Alligator mississippiensis: one gene and its partner. The protein of the gene in region 1 purifies or fractionates together with the protein of each later gene. This does not show direct contact. Links are inferred from orthologs where the notes say so. Each region holds a gene or a part of one and is shown on either strand. Other genes may lie near its edges.

What was found. The genes of interacting proteins can lie anywhere in the genome.
Region 2: the proteins of EED (region 1) and AEBP2 purify together in Homo sapiens (affinity purification with mass spectrometry; 6 studies listed by BioGRID and IntAct, counting the BioPlex papers as one, with this or other methods). This does not show direct contact. The link is inferred for Alligator mississippiensis from reciprocal best matches to the Homo sapiens genes EED and AEBP2.

Annotation. Positions count from the first base shown.
Region 1 is NC_081824.1:458,979,909-458,983,654, forward strand, and holds the start of EED (polycomb protein EED), read right to left. Parts: upstream 2,886-3,746; 5' UTR 2,871-2,885; coding exon 2,748-2,870; intron 1-2,747. UniProt on the Homo sapiens protein: Polycomb group (PcG) protein. Component of the PRC2/EED-EZH2 complex, which methylates 'Lys-9' and 'Lys-27' of histone H3, leading to transcriptional repression of the affected target gene.
Region 2 is NC_081827.1:123,059,026-123,062,771, reverse strand, and holds the start of AEBP2 (zinc finger protein AEBP2), read right to left. Parts: upstream 2,808-3,746; 5' UTR 2,723-2,807; coding exon 2,139-2,722; intron 1-2,138. UniProt on the Homo sapiens protein: Acts as an accessory subunit for the core Polycomb repressive complex 2 (PRC2), which mediates histone H3K27 (H3K27me3) trimethylation on chromatin leading to transcriptional repression of the affected target gene.

The DNA of each region.
Region 1 (3,746 bases):
CACCTTCTTCACTTAACTGTAGAACTGTGCTTATTCATGCCTTGCCTCTTTGCCGCAAGGCATCATGTAATGTGTTATACAGTGGAGTGCACCTTCAACTGGAGGAGTGGTGAGTGCCTTGTCCCTGACTTGATTGTATCTTGGTGATCACGACAGTTTTAGGTGAGAGTTTGTACTTCGTAAAACTGAGGCAGGCATTGAACCTTGATCTCCTACTTCCTGCAGAAGAGCTCTAACCACAAGGGTATATATATGTAGGGTGAGTGATAGCATCACCACCTCCACTGGTTGTGTTTTTGAATGAAAGTGGCTGAGACTGCAATTTCTTGCTGTATTTTTTCTTGTCAGTATGTAGTAGGTATACTCAAAGCAGGCCTATCAGACTGGCATCTTCAGTGGACTTGGGCTTAGTATAAAGATCCCAAATGGGCTTAGATGTGAGGCAGTCCTGCCTACGTGACGTCAGTTCTGGACACGTGGGGATTTTGTCCTTTGCCAAGTCCTTTTTCTGCCTAGGAGGTTACGGAGAGGGTTAGCACTCTTATGAGGAGTCTGTGAAGAAGTCCTCTTTTTTGTGCTTCTGGACCATCATGACCAGAAACAATCAGTTCAATTTACAGAATATAGATGCTTCTTCTATTTAACTAATCAGTTAGTTTTATATATTAAATGGAATTCAATACGGCTCTTTTGTGTTGTATCTAGCACTTAACCTAGTTTTAACTAATAAAAAATAAATTAAAATGCAGACAATCAGCATTTTAATTGAAATCAGATTTCCACCCTGAAGAAGCTTTATGAACATCCCAAAACAAAAATGAATGGTTTGGCAAGTAGGTAATGATGAACACGGTGATTATTGCATTTTATTATGTTAACATATATCAATGTATTTCTAAGCTGTATAATTGCTCAAACATATACTTAATATAGCCTTCAAGTTAGTAAAGACAAGTACCAAATTGGTAGAGGTTATATTAAACTATCAAGACCTGCCTTAATAGTTACTACCTACTGAGAACCTGCCGTTCTTTAGGAAAAAAGAACCAAAAAGCAATGAATAAAAATAAATAGAACACGATTTCTTAGATATGCATATATTCCTTGGCATTTCTATGTTTCTAACTTTCTGGTCATTCTTTCACATGTTGAGATCTGAGAGACTTTTCCATAGATTTTAAAGTTAATTTTGGAGATCTCAGTCTTACAGTGACCTCTGTTCAGTCTATTTGTAGCCCTTTCAGGACGGAGAAAGGGACTACTTACTGATACGTTTTTCTATAAAGGTCAAGTCACAATTTATTGTAACACTGCACTGAAAAGTGTTTTTACAGAGATGTAAGTACCTATGCACGTATACAATAAAACGTCACTGTCAAATAGGGTGTAACACTCAATTCCTCTGCATGGCCTTACTTCCTTCTTATTAACTACTAGGGCTGTGTGAAATTTCGCTGAGTGTTTCCTTTCGAAGCTGTTTTGACGTGTTTTGAGCTCAAAACAGCAAAATCGAAACGAAACAAAAAGCATTGAAACAGCTTCGAAACATTTTGAATTTTGAAGCAGCCCGGTGGTGGGAGGCAGGGGAGAGCCAGGGCTGCGCTCCAAGCAGCTCCGCAGCCCCATGTTGCTCAGCCCGGTGGGGAACGCAGCCCTGGCTGTCCTCACTTCCTGCCACCGGGCTGCGCTCTGATCAGCTCCACCAGCCCCATGGAGCTCAGCCGTGGTGGGAGGAGGCGCACAGCCCTTGTAAGGCAGTCCTATGATAGTCGAGGTCTGAGAACTAAGGTCTCAGCCTCATACCTAATTTTTATTCATAGGTTAAAGAGAAAACCCAAGCTTTCCTGGTTCACATCAGTTTCTCAGTTATGAACAACCTAGTCGTGGTACAGAAAGGAACATCACAGGTGAAGAACGTATTCTTTCTGTACCTACTCAGGCCACAGCTGTCAGAAGTTGACTCATCGCTTCAACAAAGTTTTGTTTCAGATCAATAACCCTTCGCTTCAGCACTGCAACTTTTTTTTGAAGTTTTTGGCCACAAATACGTACGGTTTGGCTGTTTCCGCCCAGGGGCAGCCAACCTGCAGCCCAAGTAGCACAAGTAGCATTGGCAGCCTGGCACAGAGCAGACTGGGGAGGGGACAGGCAGCCCAGTGGCGGATTGGGCAGGGAGCAGATAGCAGAGCAGCCGATCAGGCAGGGGAAGGGGACGGCAGTGACACCTGGGAGAGGATGCAGGGATAAGCTGTGACACGCCTGCCGAAAAGAGTTGCTCCTTGCTGTTTAAGAAAGTGCTAAGGAAATTCAGGCCTTCAGGCAGGCCTATTTCATGTGCCACTCACAAGTATACACCCCCTTACACACGCACGTATATACACACCCCCTACACACACAATTCAGGACCCCACGCAGTTGCCACCTGTCACTAGGAGCCCGGCGCACACGTCTGCCCTGGGCCCCGCCAATCCCAGACTTCATGTCTCTACCCTGCCCTTGCGGACCCCCCATTCCCACTTTCATTCCCCCCCAAAACAGAGCCCATGGGGGCGGACCGCCCCCCCCCATTATGACACCTCTGATGCTGTCCCCACGTGGGCGCCCGCGGGCCTGTTCCATTCCGAGCGGGGGGGGGGATTCCTGCCCCCCGCCCCAATGGACGCGCCCGGCCGGCCCTGGGCCCCTGCGGCCCCGCAGCGGAGGGAGGCCCGAGGCCGCCCCCAGCCCCGCCGCCGCGCCCCGCTCACGTTCTCGTCACCGGACAGGTCCCCGGGGTTGCTGTTCTCGTCACTGCTCAGCTTCTGCTTCTTGGCCGGCATCTCGCTGCCCGCGCCCGCCGCCGCCGCCGGCGCCTCTCCCCGCTCAGACATCTTCCCCGCCCCCCGCCACGCCGCCGCAAAGCGCGCCCGGGCGGGCGAGGGCAGACACTGCCGTAAACCGCTGCCCCTCCACCTTGCGCCGTGTCGTAATGCGCGGCTGCCACACTGCGGGAAAACCCCCGCCCGCCTGTCTGCAGGGACCGAGCAGCCGTAGGCGGGGCGGGACTGGAGCAGCTGCAGAGGGGGAGGATGGGCTGCTTCGGGTCCAGGGAGCTCAGAGGGGTTCATATGCATGTTGTCATGTGCATTATGGCCCATCTCCAGGGCCAGCTCCCGCAGCCCCTCTGCCAGTGCCCTGGGGGTCTCCTTTTGCTGGAGGAAAGACCTCCCAAAGCAAGGGGGAGATGTGTCCGCTGCCCTGAATTGGGCACCTGCGTCTGAAAATAGCCACCGGCAGGTCTATTCTGCAAACGGGCGAGGGACATCATCGTGCAACACCCGCTATTTTCCAGTTAAAAAAGAAACTAGATGCTTTGCTAATGGGCCCCGGGTCCTCAGGCCAGGTTATTGTGTTTCAGGTGGAAGCGAAAACTCCTACAACTTGGTGAGCAGGAGTTACAAAACAACCGGCAGGGTTGTGAAATAGGAGCTTAGTGACCAGGAGCAGCGAACTGCAGAGTGGGAAAACGAAGGCTGGCTTCCTTGCTGCAACCTCCAGACCATTCAAAAGAAGAGAGAGTCATTAATGCCTGTGGAAAGAAGGGATCTAAAGTATATAAGTATATCGGGGTGTGTATTCACCAGGGCACCCCAAGGGAAGGCAAGGTTCAATGGTCACGAACTGCTGGAAGACTGTTTTACATTGGACATAAGGAAAAACTTTACCGTCCGAGCCTCCAGAGTCTGGAATAGACACCCTCCCCCCCG
Region 2 (3,746 bases), on another chromosome or scaffold:
TGTTGGGGAAAGTGTACTTTCTGTAGAGCACTTCACAGGCATCACAGAACAGAACAGCCCCTGCCACACCTTGTCTCTGGGGCCCCTACTCCTGTGACTGAATCTGAAAAAAAGCAACAAGGGTGCTATGAGTGGGTGCAGAAAACTGCATGCACAGATTTAGATGCACGGCCATCTCAGAACATGAAAACAGACACACACAAAAAGAAATAGCGAGAAAGTTGGGGTTCCCACAAGTCCCACCAGATAATAGGTAAATTGTTTAAGAGAAACTCTGCCATTTTTTTCTATTGCTCTCCTATCCTAACCCAACTACTTTTTTGGGTTGAGCCCCACAGGTTAGCGAGCTCCCCTCTTCTAGTCTAATATTTCAAGGACTAAGCCACCCGAATATATGATCTGATTTAGATGAGAAGAAAAAATGCGTACTTGCAACTGCCAATCTTCACAAGTTTATGGCACATCTAGCAGAGAGACTCTCTCTTAAAGACACAGGATTTCATAAAGTCTCATCTTTCACTTAAAAAAAAAATGTTTCTAAGCCTTAGGGTTGCAGAGAAAAGGTTGATAATCTGACCAACATAAAAGTTGAACCCAAAGAAAGAAATAATAATAATAATAATAATAAAATATCTCTTCTCTCTCTCTATAAAAGTGTAATGATTTTTAGATCAAGTCACTTGATTTAAAAATCTGTTTGGGGGCACTTGTTACACAGCTCATGAACACTTGGGGTTGCGCATTGAAGCCTCCTACACATCTGCAATTTTAACATCCCAGAAAACCCTAACAAATTCAGAGTAGTGAAAAACACAGCTTTACTATATTTTCAAATAAATCTTAGAACCCAACTATGAAAAAATCCCTATATAGGTTGTGTACTTTACCAGTTTAGATTACACAGACAGTGGTTAAAGTAAACTCTACATTACACATGAAATTAATTGCTCATTTAGAAAACTTCATATAAATGGATAAGAACTTTTATAGTGTATGGAACTCAATTATTTTTCTGAATAGATCCAATTGTATACATATTATATAGCCAGATATAAAATTGAGGAATGGTTTTCTAAAGGTAACAGCTACATGTATTCTTAACCCACACTAGAGTTAAGGGGGGGAAATAATAAGAAGGAACAAAACTGCCTACATACTTTTTAGTGAGAAAAAAATATGTGGAAAGGTTTTCCCATGTAATGGAAGGCAGCATGTGTTAGAGCAAGTACATTAAAATTCTCTAAGAGAAGTGTTACAGCCAGGTTGCTACTTCCTCTCTGTAGGACCTAGACATTTATACTGAAACTGACAGAACGCATCAAAATAAACTCAGTTTAACGTTTAACATTTCACCTTAGACTATTACAACACACTAGCTGTACTGCAATGGGAAGTACAACTTCAGAGACAGGTTAACTTAAAACAAATAAACAAAACAAAACAACAGCACCCCGGAAAAACTATGAAACTTTACAATGCAAGTATCCACCTTCTATTAAGCTATGCTTACAAAAGCCTCCTGTAGGTACCAGACTGAAGGGCTTCCAAAACATAAATAAGTAAATAAATCCAGGGGGCTGCATTTCAAGATTCACTACACTTGATCCTAGCCTACAAGAGGCTGAGAAGCCCCAAACCCAACCCAATCTGTCCAACCCTTTTGGGGGGGGGGGGGAGAAGCACAACCTTTAGGACCAAGTAGATTTTTACACCTGTATAAATCAGTAACTGTCCTGTTCAGGGTCACGAAACCCAGCCAGTGACAAAATCATATGCAGGAGGCTCTTCGTCCCCCAGAAGCTGAAGGGACAAATGACTTTTACACTTCTCCTGGCAATTCTCAACCCTGTGTATGGGGGAGAACACAATGGGACAACATGAAGTACCCCAGGGTGCCTGCGGACCCTTTCTAGGGTGCCGCACAGCATACACCCGGCCCTTAGGTGAGCAGACACGAACCCCACCAGAGGGGTGTAGTGGAACTCGGCAGCCTTACAAACGCCACGAACCGAGGTGTTTGCAACAGCAGAGCTGCCCGGCCCCTTCTCTCGGTGGCCGATCGGGGGGGGGGGGGGGGGGGGGGGGGGGAAGGTGGAACCTGTGGCTGACGGGCAGGGCGGTCCCTCCGTTGAACCCACCTGTCCTCCGAGTCCATGCGGCTGAGCGGCTCCCCGTCCGACGACATCTCCAGGCTGCCGCGGCGGCCACCCGACGTGGCACTGCAGCTGCTGCTGCCGCCGCCACCCGTGCCGTAGCCCTCGTCCGCGCCGCTCGACACGCTGCTGCTACTACTGCTACTACTACTGCTGCTGCTGCCGCCGGCCCCGCAGCCCCCCGCGCCGCCGCGGCCCGGCCCTGCTGCCTGCCCACCCCGCGGGCCCTTGGGCTCATCCTTGGCGTCCGCCTCGCTGCTGCCGCCGGGGCTGAGCGAGCGCGTCTCGTCGCTGCAGCAGCCGCTGCTGCTACCCGCCAGGCTACTCCTCTCCTCCTCCTCGCCGCCCTCCTCCTCCTCGTCCTCTTCCTCCTCGTCGCCCGCCTGGCTCGCGCTGCCCGGGCTGCGCTCCGACATGCTCTCCGCCTCGCCGCCCAGCAGCAGCAGCACCGCCCGCGGGCCCGCCCCGACTCCAGCCCCGCCGCCGGCCTCCGCTCCAGCCTCCTCCTCAGCCGCCTGGCCGGGCAGCGGCCCCTCCAGCTCCGCCATGTCGCTGCGAGCAGCCGCCATGGCGCCTCCGAGCCGCCGTGCGTGCGTGCGTGTCCCCGCCCGTGTACGTGCGTGCGTGTGCGCCTGTCCTCCTGCTACCGCCGCGCCGGGCAGCCGCAGAGGGAGGGGCCGCCGCACGCGCTACGGAGCGCGCCCGGGGACAAAATAGAGCCGTTGGAGGAGGGGGGGGGGGCAGCGCCTGGCGCCCGCGGAGGAGGGGAAGCGAGAACGAGGCTTCTGCATAGGACGGGCTGTTCCAAGTGCGAAAGGGGAGGGGGCAGAAGTAGATGGAGCGCTGCATTGCGCACACACGGGAGGGAAGTTGCGCGGCTCCTGTTGTGGACTCGCCCAGTGCCCCTGGGCTACTCACGTGGTGCCCCCTGCGCCTGTGGAGCAGCCGTGGTGGCCAGCGCAGCAGCCTCACCCTGGGGTGCCTGTCCCATGTGCCACGGGGTGCCACAGGGCGAGGCTTTCACACGGGGAAGCCCCCCGGTACTTACCTGGCAGGGGAATACCATAACCATGAAGGTGGTTTTCCTAGTTGTAGGGGAAAACCACTTTCTTGGCAGGGGGTAGTATCCTGATGGAGATAATCCAGCGGGCAGATCTTGGCTACATGCCGACTCCTCCTGCACGTGCTCCTGCAGCCATGCCCCCGAGGGCAAGGGGAACTCGGGGGCACCTGAACCCCAAGCTGCCAGGCCTGCACAGAGGATGCCCATCAAAGGATTGAGAAGCATCTGAAGCCCCAGGCAGGGGTGGAGCAGTGCCACGTTTGATTCTGGAATGACTCGCGGATTTGGAATCGATTTGGCTTGGAACATGAACATTTTTCCTTAAAAAACAAAGTGTTAAGTGCAGGCAGCTCCCTCATGGCCTCTCTCAGTGCTGGGGTTCCCCTGCGTGAAATCCTTCCAAAGCCTGTGTGTGCACACCTCGCCCTGTGGCACCTGGGACAGCCTAGCCAGGCACCACAGGGCGAGGCTGCTCGGTTGTGGCCTCTCTCAGTTCTTTGCCACAGAAGTATCACTCTCCTGTGTTTCTG